Linked DNA regions of Xenopus tropicalis. The protein of the gene in region 1 interacts with the protein of each later gene in a pairwise test. Links are inferred from orthologs where the notes say so. Each region holds a gene or a part of one and is shown in the gene's direction. Other genes may lie near its edges. The genes, in order: flad1, prtfdc1, sdcbp and trim23.

The links.
Region 2: the proteins of flad1 (region 1) and prtfdc1 interact in binary tests that used the Homo sapiens proteins (3 or more experiments, as listed by UniProt). The two-hybrid records come from large-scale screens. The link is inferred for Xenopus tropicalis from reciprocal best matches to the Homo sapiens genes FLAD1 and PRTFDC1.
Region 3: the proteins of flad1 (region 1) and sdcbp interact in binary tests that used the Homo sapiens proteins (3 or more experiments, as listed by UniProt). The two-hybrid records come from large-scale screens. The link is inferred for Xenopus tropicalis from reciprocal best matches to the Homo sapiens genes FLAD1 and SDCBP.
Region 4: the proteins of flad1 (region 1) and trim23 interact in binary tests that used the Homo sapiens proteins (3 or more experiments, as listed by UniProt). The two-hybrid records come from large-scale screens. The link is inferred for Xenopus tropicalis from reciprocal best matches to the Homo sapiens genes FLAD1 and TRIM23.

Annotation. Positions count from the first base shown.
Region 1 is NC_030684.2:145,234,914-145,238,564, forward strand, and holds part of flad1 (FAD synthase), read left to right. Parts: coding exon 1-104; intron 105-1,226; coding exon 1,227-1,374; intron 1,375-1,451; coding exon 1,452-1,550; intron 1,551-1,623; coding exon 1,624-1,813; intron 1,814-2,137; coding exon 2,138-2,211; intron 2,212-2,312; coding exon 2,313-2,444; intron 2,445-3,651. UniProt on the Homo sapiens protein: Catalyzes the adenylation of flavin mononucleotide (FMN) to form flavin adenine dinucleotide (FAD) coenzyme.
Region 2 is NC_030682.2:25,741,764-25,744,966, forward strand, and holds part of prtfdc1 (phosphoribosyltransferase domain-containing protein 1), read left to right. Parts: intron 1-118; coding exon 119-201; intron 202-1,335; coding exon 1,336-1,382; intron 1,383-1,838; coding exon 1,839-1,915; intron 1,916-3,203. UniProt on the Homo sapiens protein: Has low, barely detectable phosphoribosyltransferase activity (in vitro). Binds GMP, IMP and alpha-D-5-phosphoribosyl 1-pyrophosphate (PRPP). Is not expected to contribute to purine metabolism or GMP salvage.
Region 3 is NC_030682.2:116,378,202-116,381,852, forward strand, and holds part of sdcbp (syntenin-1), read left to right. Parts: intron 1-1,186; 5' UTR 1,187-1,196; coding exon 1,197-1,247; intron 1,248-3,105; coding exon 3,106-3,184; intron 3,185-3,540; coding exon 3,541-3,641; intron 3,642-3,651. UniProt on the Homo sapiens protein: Multifunctional adapter protein involved in diverse array of functions including trafficking of transmembrane proteins, neuro and immunomodulation, exosome biogenesis, and tumorigenesis.
Region 4 is NC_030677.2:187,786,881-187,791,263, forward strand, and holds the start of trim23 (E3 ubiquitin-protein ligase TRIM23), read left to right. Parts: upstream 1-1,438; 5' UTR 1,439-1,904; coding exon 1,905-1,994; intron 1,995-3,422; coding exon 3,423-3,585; intron 3,586-4,185; coding exon 4,186-4,307; intron 4,308-4,383. Other genes in the region: trappc13 (trafficking protein particle complex subunit 13), read right to left, coding at 1,305-1,350.

The DNA of each region.
Region 1 (3,651 bases):
TCACAAGTTCCTGATAGAACATCTGCCCCCCGGGGTGGTGGTGCCATTTGTAAAGGATCCAGTGACACAGGCGGCAGCCCAAGTCTATCAGCTTGCCCAGTCAGGTACCCTATGGCGTGGCTTATAGGGTTAAATGTATTCTCTGTACTTCCTGCTCCTGGGCTGCTCTCTTTCCCATGGTCAGACAGGAACCCCCCCCTGGGTAAGTGGATCCAATCTCCCCCCAGTACTTACCCAGGTACAGAGCTCTGATTCTCTGTACTTCCTGCTCCTGGGCTGCTCTCTTTCCCATGGTCAGGCAGGAACTCCCCCCTGGGTAAGTGAATCCAATCTCCCCCCAGTACTTACCCAGGTACAGAGCTCTGATTCTCTGTACTTCCTGCTCCTGGGCTGCTCTCTTTCCCATGGTCAGACAGGAACCTCCCCCTGGGTAAGTGAATCCAATCTCCCCCCAGTACTTACCCAGGTACAGAGCTCTGATTCTCTGTACTTCCTGCTCCTGGGCTGCTCTCTTTCCCATGGTCAGGCAGGAACCCCCCCCGGGTAAGTGAATCCAATCTCCCCCCAGTACTTACCCAGGTACAGAGCTCTGATTCTCTGTACTTCCTGCTCCTGGGCTGCTCTCTTTCCCATGGTCAGGCAGGAACCTCCCCCCTGGGTAAGTGAATCCAATCTCCCCCCAGTACTTACCCAGGTACAGAGCTCTGATTCTCTGTACTTCCTGCTCCTGGGCTGCTCTCTTTCCCATGGTCAGGCAGGAACCCCCCCAAGGTAAGTGAATCCAATCTCCCCCCAGTACTTACCCAGGTACAGAGCTCTGATTCTCTGTACTTCCTGCTCCTGGGCTGCTCTCTTTCCCATGGTCAGGCAGGAACCCCCCCCCGGGTAAGTGAATCCAATCTCCCCCCAGTACTTACCCAGGTACAGAGCTCTGATTCTCTGTACTTCCTGCTCCTGGGCTGCTCTCTTTCCCATGGTCAGGCAGGAACCTCCCCCTGGGTAAGTGAATCCAATCTCCCCCCAGTACTTACCCAGGTACAGAGCTCTGATTCTCTGTACTTCCTGCTCCTGGGCTGCTCTCTTTCCCATGGTCAGGCAAGAACATCCCCCTGGGTAAGTGAATCCAATCAGTGTGAGTAGAGGGTGGGGCCCCTGTGTGGAACCCTGGGAGGGTGGGGCCCCAGTGTGGCACCCAGTCACGGCAGTGATTCCCTTGTGCCCAATAGGCTCGCCCCTGGGGGACAAGGTGGCGGCGGCACTGCGCATCCTGGAGGAGGGGCTCGACACTTACAGCCTGGACAAGATCTGTGTGGCCTTTAATGGGGGCAAAGACTGCACGGCCCTCCTGCACCTGTTCCACGCCGCTGTACAGAGGTGAGGAGATGCCCCCCACAGAGCCCCCCCAGTCAGGAGGTGCCCCAGGTCACCCACTCCCCTTCTTTGCCCCTCAGGAAATACCCGGAGCGGAAGGACCACCTGCAGGCGCTGTACATCCGGATCGTCTCGCCCTTCCCAGAGATGGAGCAGTTCATGCAGAGCACGACCAAACGGTGAGAGGAGCCCTGTGGGGTCAGCGACCCCCCCCCCGGGCTCTGAGCGTAACCCCCCTTATTGCCCCTACAGGTACAATCTCCGGATCTACACCATCCAGGGGTACATCAAGCAGGCGCTTATGGACCTGAAAGCAGAACAACCCAATCTGGAAGCGGTTCTGATGGGCACCAGGCGCTCCGACCCCTACTCCCGGACACTGACCCCCATGTGCCTGACGGACCCCGACTGGCCCCAGTACATGCGAGTGAACCCCCTACTGGTGAGTGTCAGCTCTGTGTGCCACTCCCTTTGCTTGTTACCCAAGGAGGTACGGGGTGCGCCTCCCTGCCAAGTGTCAGCTTAGTGGGTCAGTACTACTCCCTGACATCCTATTCCTCTCTTGGTGGGGGTCAGTGCCTTTAATTTCCCATAATGCTCAGTGACACATGCAGGTTATTGTTCCTATTTGGCTCATATCATTGGGAGCAGCCAAGCCTCTAGTTGCAGAGCGCCCCCCCCAGGGCAAGGATTTGCCTACTTTCACAATACAAGTCCTGCAGTGTCAGAAGCGCCAGTGCAACGTTATTATTATTCCCCACTGCAGGATTGGTCGTACGGAGACATCTGGGACTTCCTGCGGACTCTCTACATTCCCTACTGTATTCTCTATGATAAAGGGTAACTATCCCTGTGCATCTCATTCTGCTCCCTATATCTGTATGTGGCCCTTTCTAGCTCCTCCTCCCGCGGGTCCCTGACTCCACCCACTCCCGTTACAGTTACACGTCTCTGGGCAGCATGGAGAACACCGTGAAGAACCCGGCCCTGCGATTCACCACCCCGGGGGGCACTGAGAGCTACCAGCCTGCCTACAAGCTGGAAAATGAGGAGGAGGAGCGAGTCTCCAGGAAGTAATTAGTCTTGACACATCAGTGTCCCCCCTATCATCAGTGCCCCACCCCCCAATCATCAGTGCCCCACCCCCCAATCATCAGTGCCCCACCCACCTCATCCTCAGTGCCCCACCCACCTCATCATTAGTGCCCCACCCACCTCATCATCAGTGCCCCACCCCCCAATCATCAGTGCCCCACCCACCTCATCATCTGTGCCCCACCCACCCCATCATCTGTGCCCCACCCCCCTATCATCAGTGCCCCACCCACCCCATCATCTGTGCCCCACCCACCCCATCATCTGTGCCCCACCCCCCTATCATCTGTGCCCCACCCCCCTATCATCAGTGCCCCACCCCCCTATCATCAGTGCCCCACCCCCCTATCATCAGTGCCCCACCCCCCTATCATCAGTGCCCCACCCACCCCATCATCAGTGCCCCACCCACCCCATCCTCAGTGCCCCACCCCCCAATCATCAGTGCCCCACCCCCCAATCATCAGTGCCCCACCCCCCAACCATCAGTGCCCCACCCCCCAATCATCAGTGCCCCACCCCCCAATCATCAGTGCCCCCCCACCCCCGTCACTAAATGGTTCCCTCCTCCTAACTTGCCTGCCAGTCTGTGGGGGGGCGGGGGGGCTGTTTGTCAGTCAGACTGTACTGGAGCTTTAAGTGCCAATAATGGGGGAGTGAATGTCTTCACTCCCCCCCCCTCTCAGTTCCTCGTCCTTCTGATGTGTCTGTAAGTTTGATGCCCGTCCTTGTGTCCCACTGTACAGTGAACGCCAGGGACCCACGGCCAGGAGGGTACAAGTGCCAAGGGGCAGAACACCAGGGGACCCACACTAGGGGCAGAACACCAGGGTTACCCACGCTAGGGGCAGAACACCAGAGGGGGCCCACACTAGGGGCAGAACGCCAGGGGGACCCACGCTAGGGGCAGAACGCCAGGGGGACCCACGCTAGGGGCAGAACACCAGAGGGGACCCACACTAGGGGCAGAACGCCAGGGGGACCCACGCTAGGGGCAGAACGCCAGGGGGACCCACGCTAGGGGCAGAATGCCAGGGTTACCCATGCTAGGGGCAGAACACCAGAGGGGACCCACGCTAGGGGCAGAACGCCAGGGGGACCCACGCCAGGGGCAGAACGCCAGGGGGACCCACGCCAGGGGCAGGACGCCAGGGGGACCCACGCCAGGGGCAGAACGCCAGGGTT
Region 2 (3,203 bases), on another chromosome or scaffold:
ATCATAACTATAGAATTTAATTTCTCTGTTACCTACTCCTATAATTAGATAAGATGTGCCTTGGTAAATACCCATTTTAATCATTGGCATGACTACCTTTTTTCTGTATCTTTTCAAGGACATTATTAACACTGGAAGGACAATGACTGCACTTCTCAGTCAGCTAGAAAAATACAAACCAAAGATGGTGAAAGTGGCAAGGTTGGTAGACACCACAGTTTGGGCATTGTAGGACATGTCCCTCCATTGCATTAGCTTTAACCCTTACAGATAATATATACCATAAAAACAAATAAAAGTAATGCTCTTTTTGCAACATACAATATTTTTTCCTGCTTTTCTAGTTTCATTAGCTGTTTTTAATGAATTTGATGCCACAGCACCACCTGCTGGTCATTTCCACTACAGTCAGCAGAAAATTATTTTTTTTAGAAAAGGAAAGTCTTGTGATGATGCTTTGCTTTGAAAATTAAATTAGTGAGCAGAGAAGAGTCATCTGACATTTCTCTGTAGCCAGTCAGCCAAAATGGCCAGCAGGTGGTGCTGTTGTATCAAATTCATTATATTAGCAGTTTAAAAATTGTTACTATCTTAAAAATAGAAAAAGAAAATGAATGTAAGCACTCTTAGCAATTTTACATTAATTTGTTTTGTGAGTTTGTATATCCTTTAATCTTTCTTCCTTGGTTGTTTTTTTACCAGAAATGTATCCAGTGTCATACCTTGTAGAATCTAAATTAACCTGCACACTAAACTTAACTTTCACCAGCAGTCACCTGCAGAGGAAAGAGCTAGGTGTATCCATTCTACAAGGCAGGCAACTGTGTACAGGTATAGGACCCATTATGCAGAATGCTCGCGACCAAGGGTATTCTGGATAAGGGGTCTTTCTGTAATTTGGATCTCCATACCTTAAGTCTGCTAAAAAATCAATAAAACATTAATTAAACACAATAGGATTGTTTTGCATCCAATAAGGATTATTTATATCTTAGTTGGGATCAATTACAAGGTACTGTTTTATTACTACAGAGAAAAAGGAAATCCGTTTTAAAATTCTGACTTATTTGATTAAAATGGAGTCTATGGGGGGTGGGCTTTCTGGATAACGGGTTTCCGGATAAGGGGTCTGATACCTGTATATGGTATAGTAGGGATGTAATGAATGGGGAAACTGGCAAATGCAGCCTTGTGAATAAGGGGGCAAATAAAAGTTGGTCTGGGAGCCTCTGCGTCAGGCTGCTTTCATCTGCCTAATATACAAGGGGCAGCTAGTGATTTAGGTTTAATTTGCTGAAGAAAATAAAAATACCTTTTGATATTGTTTTTATGCAGCTTGCTGGTGAAAAGATCAGCGTCCAGCAATCAGTACAGACCTGACTGTAAGTATTTTTGTACGTACATGTCACTATTGTAGGGAAACAACTGCCCCACGACAATAAATTCCAGGCATTGATAAATATGATGAGCCCTTACTATTCCCAGGCCTAGGTCAGCAGTGCTAACCCCTGTGCCAGCAGCATGATGCCCTCTGTTTGAGTGTTCTTGCAATGCTGGCTTGACCCTAGTCGATACAGGTATGGGACCTGTTATCCAGAATGCTTAAGAACTAGGGTTTTCCAGATAAGGGGTCTTTGCATAATTTGGATCCCCATATGCTAAGTCTACTAAGAAGTCATTTAAACATTAAATAAACTAAATTGGATTGTTTGGCCCCCAATAAGGGTTAATTATACCATAGTTGGGATCATGCCACCCTAGTCTGTCACTTTCACAATGTACTAATAATATGCTTTGTTTGCCCTTTAACTGGCCTTGTACGTTGTTTTTATTCATAGACACTGGATTTGAAATTCCCAACAAATTTGTGGTTGGCTATGCCTTGGATTACAATGAGTATTTTCGAGACCTTCATGTAAGTATGTTAATTGTTTGTGTGCGCTGACCCATTATTCACGCGGCACAGCCGTGGAAAGATTGACCTTTTAGTACTGTGCCCGGGTCCCTCAGTGATTAACTCCAGCGATAGCATTGCACACACAATGGAAACACTGTAGGCCAGCATTTCTCTGCAACCGCTGCTTAATCACATTAGAGGCTGGGGATAAATATAGGCATTTTTGTCAAACTACAATGTTCCTGGAAGGGCCCGGCCCGTAGACATAGGGCACACGTGTTGATTTTAGGCCATTGTAATATCTCCTTCCTATTGCTAGTAAGGGAATTGTGTGAAACACATGAAATTCACCAAAGTTTGTGTTTTTGTGTCAACAGTGGGTGGCAATTTAGGGTGTTTCAGTTCCACTAACCTTCCCAATAGTGTAACCTTACCTTATAGTGTAACCCTACCCGATAGTGTAACCCTACCCGATAGTGTAACCTTACCTTATAGTGTAACCCTACCCGATAGTGTAACCCTACCCGATAGCGTAACCTTACCTTATAGTGTAACCCTACCCGATAGCGTAACCTTACCTTATAGTGTAACCCTACCCGATAGCGTAACCTTACCTTATAGTGTAACCCTACCCGATAGTGTAACCTTACCTTATAGTGTAACCCTACCCGATAGCGTAACCCTACCCGATAGCGTAACCCTACCCGATAGCGTAACCCTACCCGATAGCGTAACCCTACCCGATAGCGTAACCCTACCCGATAGCGCAACCCTACCCGATAGCGTAACCCTACCCTATAGCGTAACCCTACCCGATAGTGTAACCTTACCTTATAGCGTAACCTTACCTTATAGTGTAACCCTACTCGATAGTGTAACCTTACCTTATAGTGTAACCCTACCCAATAGCGTAACCTTACCTTATAGTGTAACCCTACCCGATAGCGTAACCTTACCTTATAGTGTAACCCTACCCGATAGCGTAACCTTACCTTATAGTGTAACCCTACTCGATAGCGTAACCTTACCTTATAGTGTAACCCTACCCGATAGTGTAACCTTACCTTATAGTGTAACCCTACCCGATAGCGTAACCCTACCCGATAGCGTAACCCTACCCGATAGCGTAACCCTACCCGATAGCGTAACCCTACCCGATAGCGTAACCCTACCCGATAGTGTAACCCTACCCGATAGTGTAACCTTACCTTATAGTGTAACCCTACCCGATAGTGTAACCCTACCCCATAGCGTAACCTTACCTTATAGTGTAACCCTACCCGATAGCGTAACCTTACCTTATAGT
Region 3 (3,651 bases), on another chromosome or scaffold:
TGAACAGGTTGTACTGCAGTACTTTTTTGAAACATGTAAAACATGTGTTGCTGGATGTGGAATTTCAGGAACACTAAGTAAATGGTTTGCAAGCTGCTTTCTTTGCAAGCAGATCATATGACAGTCATCTGCTTGTGGTCATGATGCATTAATCCTCTTATAAAGTCACGAGTCATGTTCATTATATCGAATTGGCTTTCCTTGTACTTACCATAATTGCATAACTTGAAAGGCTGGTGAAATAAGGGAAACCAGTTTTGTCATTTTTTTTTATGTATAAAAATTAAAGGAGGAGGAAAACCTAAAAATAAACATGGCTGTAAATGCCATATTACATGGTCCAGGCTGAACCGAGTCCTTAAAATTAATTTTTAAGTCTTCGGGGGCTTAATTTGCCAATACAAATTAGGATTTGGGTTCTGTATTTGGCAAATCTTTCACAAAAGATTCAGGTTTTGACCAAATCCCAAATAATTGGATTTACAGCATCTGTAGTGCAGACGTTGCAGACCATTTGGAACCTCGAGGTTGTGTCTGAGAACATAAAATATTGATGCACAACAAGCTTCAGCTCTCGGCAGCCCCTTTCTGTCACTGTGTGACTGAACTGCCAGTGTGCCTAGAAACCTCCACTTCACTTGACTTCTCGGCATATATTTCAATAAACTTGCTGGAAAGGGGCCATGTTGAAACTGAGCTGAGCTCTCTGTTGGTAATGATTTAGTGGCGGTGGGTCAGTGGTTTGTGTCAGCAATGGGTGAAGCGTGAATAGCCAATTCTGGTTGTTCGAAGGGGTGTCTGGGTACTTGTGGCTAAATAATGTAAATAAAAGGAACATTTTATATTTTTACCTTCCATTTCATTTTCTCTTAAATAGCAACTAAGAATGAAGACATTTCCTAGGCAGTTATTTCTATTAGAGGAGTTGAAAGGAAAGGTAAAACTTACCACAAACTAAAACTATATTACCTTTATCAGGTGAATGTTAATGTATTATAGTGTCATATAAAGTAGCTTTCCTTTGCTACAGTCTGAACATTACTGCTATGGGGAGATTCACACAATACATACACCGATGCAGATGTGAGTGTGGGGTGGGATGGAAACCAAACTCCACAAGTGCCCATAAACCAGGCCAGTTTCTAGCAACATCCATCATGTGTAACATTTTTTTTCCCACCCCCAGGTCTGTAAAAATGTCTCTGTATCCCTCACTGGAGGACCTGAAGGTTGACAAAGTCATCCAGGTGAGTTTGTTTATACCTTGGCTTTTATTGCTAAATTGATCTATTCAAGGTCTTTCATTTGACATTAAATATACACTATGTTTTATGGAAGTGGAGGGGATGTCCTGTTTTCAGTATTGCATGGGAGCCCATGTTCAGGTAAGTAGGTTTGTTTTGGATCATATAGAAAGTGCTGTTCGGAGCAGAGATCCACCGTTAGCCAAATGTTACAGGTGGATTTGTTCTGAGATGTTAAGGTTGGTTGGCTTCTGCACCTTTTGCCTAATAAAAGAAAACGTAATTCTTAGCAACTTTGCTGTATAAATTCAATACAGTTTTTATGTTATTTGTATATGTAATTTGTGTGCCTTTCTATTCCCTGCCCCTGGCCCAGACTGTTGACACAGTGTAAAACAACCCAGCTGATTTACAGGTTTACAGCTCTGTCTTTGCTTGGGAACTTGGACTTTCGCAACATTGTTTAAAAAAAAAACCCAAAAAGGAGTTTAAGCAAATATTGCTTTCTGTAGCTGCTGTATTTACAAATAACTTTAAAAGCACTGAATATTTTAACAAGTGCATATTGCAAAGTTGCTTAGAATTACATTTTCATTTATAAGGCACATTTATAATTTTGGGTCAGCATGCCCTTTATTTTTTTGAACAGTGTTACCGAAAACAGAACTTTTTTTTAGTCCAGTATGAGCAGTTAAATAGTCAGAATCAAAGGCACTGTTATTCACTCCAATGAGTATGAGTACAGTGGTTTATTCTTCTCCACTTGCACTGTGAAATTTGTGAGGAGCATTGAAAAAGAAGAGGGATTCAGCCTGACTGGAATTGCTAAGTGCCATGGTCTTTGAACGTTAATAGTATGTGTCCTTGTAAAGCCCCAAAGAAAATTGCTGAGCGCCAGGTAATGGGCTTTTACTGCTTGTGCATGAGCTGTCCAGTAGCTTCCTACAATCATTTATTTATCTTAGCTTGATTGATCTGCTTTATTCACTGGAACAAAAAGCCGCTGCCTTCTATGGTTTCTAATGGATATAGGTTTTTGTTTTTTTTTTAAAGGAAACAAATGACTAATTTATAACTCTTTGTTCTGTTGATCCTTCATTGCTTATGCACAGCAGCAGAAAAGCAGAGTGCTGTTTGTATATGAGATCACTTCAAGAATGTGACCTGTTAACCCCGAGGGGACAATATGATATTTCCCAGGCATAGCTGCCCTGTTGCTAGCATCATGGAGTCGGTGCTGTTTTCTGCAGCTTGTGCAATGTTTATAGTTCTGGGGCCTTGATTAACCCTTGATTTTACCGACTTAGGTCAACGTAGTAAAACTGAATTAAAACATAAAATCCAGGAATATTAAAAAAGAGGCATAAGTGCAAGTAAGGAATCAGAAACCGGATCCCAGGGTTTTATTTTTAATATTGTTGGCAAGTTATCTCCAGCCAATTCATTCTTGGCCAGATTGGAAGCATTTCTAGAGCCAAAATCTAATCAGGACGCAATTGGCCTGTTGTATCGGTGGTCAAACTGTGCTTAATCAGAACCCACTTTATAATCTGATTGTTGGCCTAAGGACCAACTTCTTGGATCAGACACATTAGACCCACTATGTATGTGGTTGCACTGGTTAAAGATCCACTTGTTAGACAAACAGTGAGTTCTTCCTTCTGTTTATATAGCCATATTTAGATCTGTCAGCTAAATTCGATTGCAGGTTAAAACAAAGCCGTACATTGTACTTTTTAAATAACATGCACAATAATATCTTAATATACCTTTTCTATTCACCTGAACTGCACATTATGTAGCTGAAGGGTGTTCTTTATAAATTGCTATATTGAATTATGTGTGTTTTGTTTTTCTACAGGCACAGACAACTTTTTCTGCAAACCCAGTCAATCCAGCAATATTGCCTGCTGCTTCAGCATCAGCTCCTCAATATGGAGGTAATGTCTACAGACTTATTTATATACTTCATCATTAGTTGGCCATACACAAAAACTTGTTTAGTGAGGTTCCCAAAAGAGCAGATCTTTTCCCCATGTAGCCAACAGTGGGCCTAATTGGGATGATGTGATTGTTTATAGTCCTAGGCCAATATATTGGATCATCATAGAGGCCTATGAAAAATGGATGGTGGGTTACTCAGTGACTCGGTGGGGAAAGATTTAGTAGGGGTTGAGTGAATCAGACCTGTATAACATATATATATATATATTAAAACTGACTAGTAGGTGTTGTGCTGCATTCAGAAATCCTTCATAACCAAGAGACCAATAGTCTGTGTTTTCTTTTTGTACAGGGATGTACCCTAAGCTTTATCCAGAACTGGAACAGTACATGGGCTTAAGTCTCAGTGAAGATGAAATTCATAAAAATATGTCTTTGGTACCTTCTGGTGGGGTATGTAACC
Region 4 (4,383 bases), on another chromosome or scaffold:
CATAAACTGAAGCAAATCCACAAAAAAAAAATGTTGTTAACAATCTATTAAATTTTATATTTGCACTTTGGAGCAGCTATTTACAAAGCAGCCAGCACCAAAAGAGAATTATCGTATTATTTTCATACTGTATTGCTTATATTCCAAGCCACTAAATTGATCAGAAAAATCTTCTTAAAGCACTTATGGGAAAAAATGTTTTGCTTTACATCTATCAATGTCTGATTATTAGAGAACTCCTATCTAGATTCTATGGGGAAAATCTCTTTCCTCTCGTCTCTACCACTTAATCCTGAATGTAACTGTATTTTGTATTATATTTCATTGTACTGACCTGCCTGTTCCATTAATGTTAGTTAATTTGGCATTGTGTGTGCCATTAATTTGTTTTGCTGCACAGCTCTGCTTGCACAAGGTTCACTTTACAATGCTGTTTGTTGCACCCCTTACACGTATATGCATAAATTGGCCCCCGTGTAATGTTTTAAAGCCCCAAAAGACCTAAATAATTACTACCTGATACCAGGGCTATTTATTACATCTACTGTAACTTTTGAATGACGCTGCTCTCAAAAAATAGTAGAACCCTTATATTTGTCAGCTGGATGAGCTCATCCTTGCTATTAACTTACTTTTAATTAGAACAAATGTTCCTTAATGATATATTCTTAATAAAAACCTGGTTTAGTTGAGATTACAGTTTATCTTTCCCATCACTGTTGGTACAGGTTGGTATGTCTATCATTTATCATGTCTATTAGTCAGCACAGAGTTTTTCTGTATTTCCAGCATTATTGTATTTTAGTTCCCCTGCTTGAGGATAATCATACAAAAATGTATTGTAACCGTTGTGGAGCCCACCAATGAGATCATGCCCAATTGGTTAATTCCATGCACTTTCTTTGTGTCCTATGGGCCCCCAACCTGCTCCAAACGCAAGCATAAGCAGGAGGGGGCCACTCAGCTATGGCAGACAATCTGAGTAACTGCTGCTTTGCAGAATAATCATTTGCACTAACTGCGCTGCCATGGGGTTACTGTAGCATCAATGGTTAAGAAGATCACTCAATGTGGCTACCATAATGGCAAGGGATGGAAGTAACTAGAAATGACAGGGCAAGGCAGGGCAGCCTCTTGCTTAGGTGCATAGTCTATGTACTCTGGAACAGAAGTGAGTGGGCCAGGACACCTATGGGAATGGCCAGTGCAGGAAAGCTCTGGCTCCTGTGCTACAGCTTGGGGCAGGCCGGGCTGACTCCCCAGTCAGGGCGCAGAGAACACACACCACAGCCTCACACTGATACCTTTCAGGGCCAACAAATGTTCCTGCTTGGGCTGATTGACGTCCATGGTGCCAGAACCGCCGTCACCACCCCTACACACACCCGGAACTGCCTGTACGGGAAGACGAAAGGGCCAGTTCTAGTAAAACAAAATGCGCATGCGCAGAGGCTTTTTCCGCTTCTCAGTTCTATTATTCACATTGCAACAGAGCCCTGCAAAACTTTTATTTCGACAAAAGCTGCAGAACCACAGAATCGCCGTCTCTGCTATCTATCATTTTGTTTTTGTTTCAGGGGAAAAATATGAGGGCACGTTTGCCAATGTTTAAGATGGCGCCTTATAGCGTTAGCTCCCATTTTTCTGAGGCAAGAGACTGAGTTGGGTTATAGCTATTGGGTGAAACCACTTTGCGGTTTCGCTAGTAATAGTTTTAAAAGCCTTTTGCTCAGTCGGTGGTGTCATACGGATTAGACTTCTCAGATTGCTACTGTTATGAACCTAAGTAGATATATTCATTGTTTTTTAAAACAGGGTTTATTCTTAAATAATGCCATTTTCAACACCAGGATTCACATGATTTCTCAACCCTCTACCCGAAGTGGTACGGTCCAGCTGTCAACATGGCTGTCGCTGTAAACAGACACGGCGGCCCTGGAAGAATGGAGGGCAGCGGACGGCAGAGCCGGACCGGTCCGGGGGGAGCAGTAAAGGTGATACTAGAGCAGGGTTACGGGAGAAGTGTATGCCGTGTAGTTTGGGCCCTGGTTTATCCCTGCAGGAGGGCCCCCCTGCGTCTGGCTATATGCATTCTCCTTCCTACATCATTTCGTTGCAGAGTGCAGGGAGGCTTTAGGGGAAAGGGCAGTTTCGGAGATGGGATACTCCTAGGGGGAAACAAAGCAGAAAGGGCCTATTATATTGTGCTAGAGAGGAAGCTGCGGGGCCCAGACACTGAGTGATAAGCAATTCCAGTATATACTTATGTACAATAACTCTTAAACTTTAGGGGGGGGGGGGGTAATATGAATTTGCTGCGGGGCCCAGACACTGAGTGATAAGCAATTCCAGTATATACTTATGTACAATAACTCTTAAACTTTAGGGGGGGGGGGGGTAATATGAATTTGCTGCGGGGCCCAGACACTGAGTGATAAGCAATTCCAGTATATACTTATGTACAATAACTCTTAAACTTTAGGGGGGGGGGGGGTAATATGAATTTGCTGCGGGGCCCAGACACTGAGTGATAAGCAATTCCAGTATATACTTATGTACAATAACTCTTAAACTTTAGGGGGGGGTAATATGAATTTGCTGTGGGGCCCAGACACTGAGTGATAAGCAATTCCAGTATATACTTATGTACAATAACTCTTAAACTTTAGGGGGGGGGGGGGGGGGTAATATGAATTTGCTGTGGGGCCCAGACACCTCTAGTTATGCCACTGACATTAGCTATGGGCAGCCTTAGAGCTCTTTGTTCTTGTTGTACTGCACCTCCATACATTGGCTAGTAGGGCTATTGAGAGTTCTAGCAGAACAACAACTGGAGGGCTGCAGGTTAAACATCCCTAATATATTATATATACATATATTAATCCCCTTCATCAGACTCCAGGCTTTCTGCATTGCAAGCTACCCACCCCCCTTTAACTCCAGCCCTGGCTGTATGGATAAGTGTAAATGTCCTATACAGGGTTGTCTTTCAACTTTCCTATGCGTTTTAACTCCCAATGAACTACAACTCCCAGCATGCAAAGTCAGCTAGATGTAGGAAGCATATGGATAATACCCAATGGCAGCTATTGATATTCCATACCCACATCTGCAAAGGCAATAAGCCTATTGTATGTATTTATAACTTTATTTTTATATTGCTGCAAGGATACATAGCACTGTATCATTTTAAGAGAAAATGCTGCTTTAATTTATCTTAAACCTTATTAGCACCACCCAGCCTTTCCACTTCCACAGGCAGCTTTCCTGGGCTGTTCAGGAGGAGCAGTGGTCCCCAGCCTGATCTTTAGCAAGCAAATGATACATCCAGCAACATGGTTGCATCCTCGTAACTTTCAGACTGATATATTTAAATGTCTCTCCACAATGTAACCTTTCCACAATTGTTTAATCAACACTAGGTTCTGGAATGTGGTGTCTGTGAAGATGTCTTTTCACTGCAAGGAGATAAAGTTCCACGTTTGCTGCTTTGCGGCCATACTGTGTGCCATGACTGTCTAACACGCCTGCCTCTTCATGGCAGAGCCATACGCTGTCCATTTGACAGACAAGCTACTGAACTAGGTATTAAAGAATTCATTTTTTACTTTACTAAGCAATAGTATTATGTAATGTATTTAAGGTCTCTATAACACAAGGATTTTGATAGCTGTTACCTGCTGCAGATTGCTTCCCATTTGCTTCAAGTTGCTCTGCACTAGCTGCTCTCTCTTGCAACAAATAGATACTGGGTGACCCACTGCTCTCAAACAGGCCCAGACTGGGATTTATAATAGGCAGCTGCCCCTCTGGCATTTGCCAGAATCCACAGATTGCCAGTCTGGGTGTGCTTTAGAAACTCTGGGAACAGCCCATCTTTTGAGAATCTCTCCTTTATTCTGTTCCAAAATGTTAAAAACCATTTGTTTTATTTAATGAATTATTCCTTTGGTATGGGATTAGGTTTTTTTCTTTAATTTGGATCATCATGCCTTAAGACTGTTAAATAAGCATTGACATATTTAAAAAATATATATATTGTTTTGATGCCAGTTTGGATACAATAAGCTACCTTCATTGCCATCAAGTACTAGGCATTGTCTTATAATTGCAGAGAAGCTGAACAGTAAGAAATTAAGATTATTATTTGTTTAAATAATGTGTAAATGTCTTGTTCTTATACAGGAGACTCTGGTGTGTGGGGCTTAAAGAAAAATTTTGCATTACTGGAACTCCTGGAGCGGTTGCAGAATGGTGCCAGTAGTCAGTGTAGCACTGTAGAAGAGGCAATGGGCGGCTCTGGAGAGGTAATGCTGACTGTAGTTATTGTATAGTACATGTGGTAGAGAGGGTATTCAACTTTTTTATTCACCTGTTTTAGCT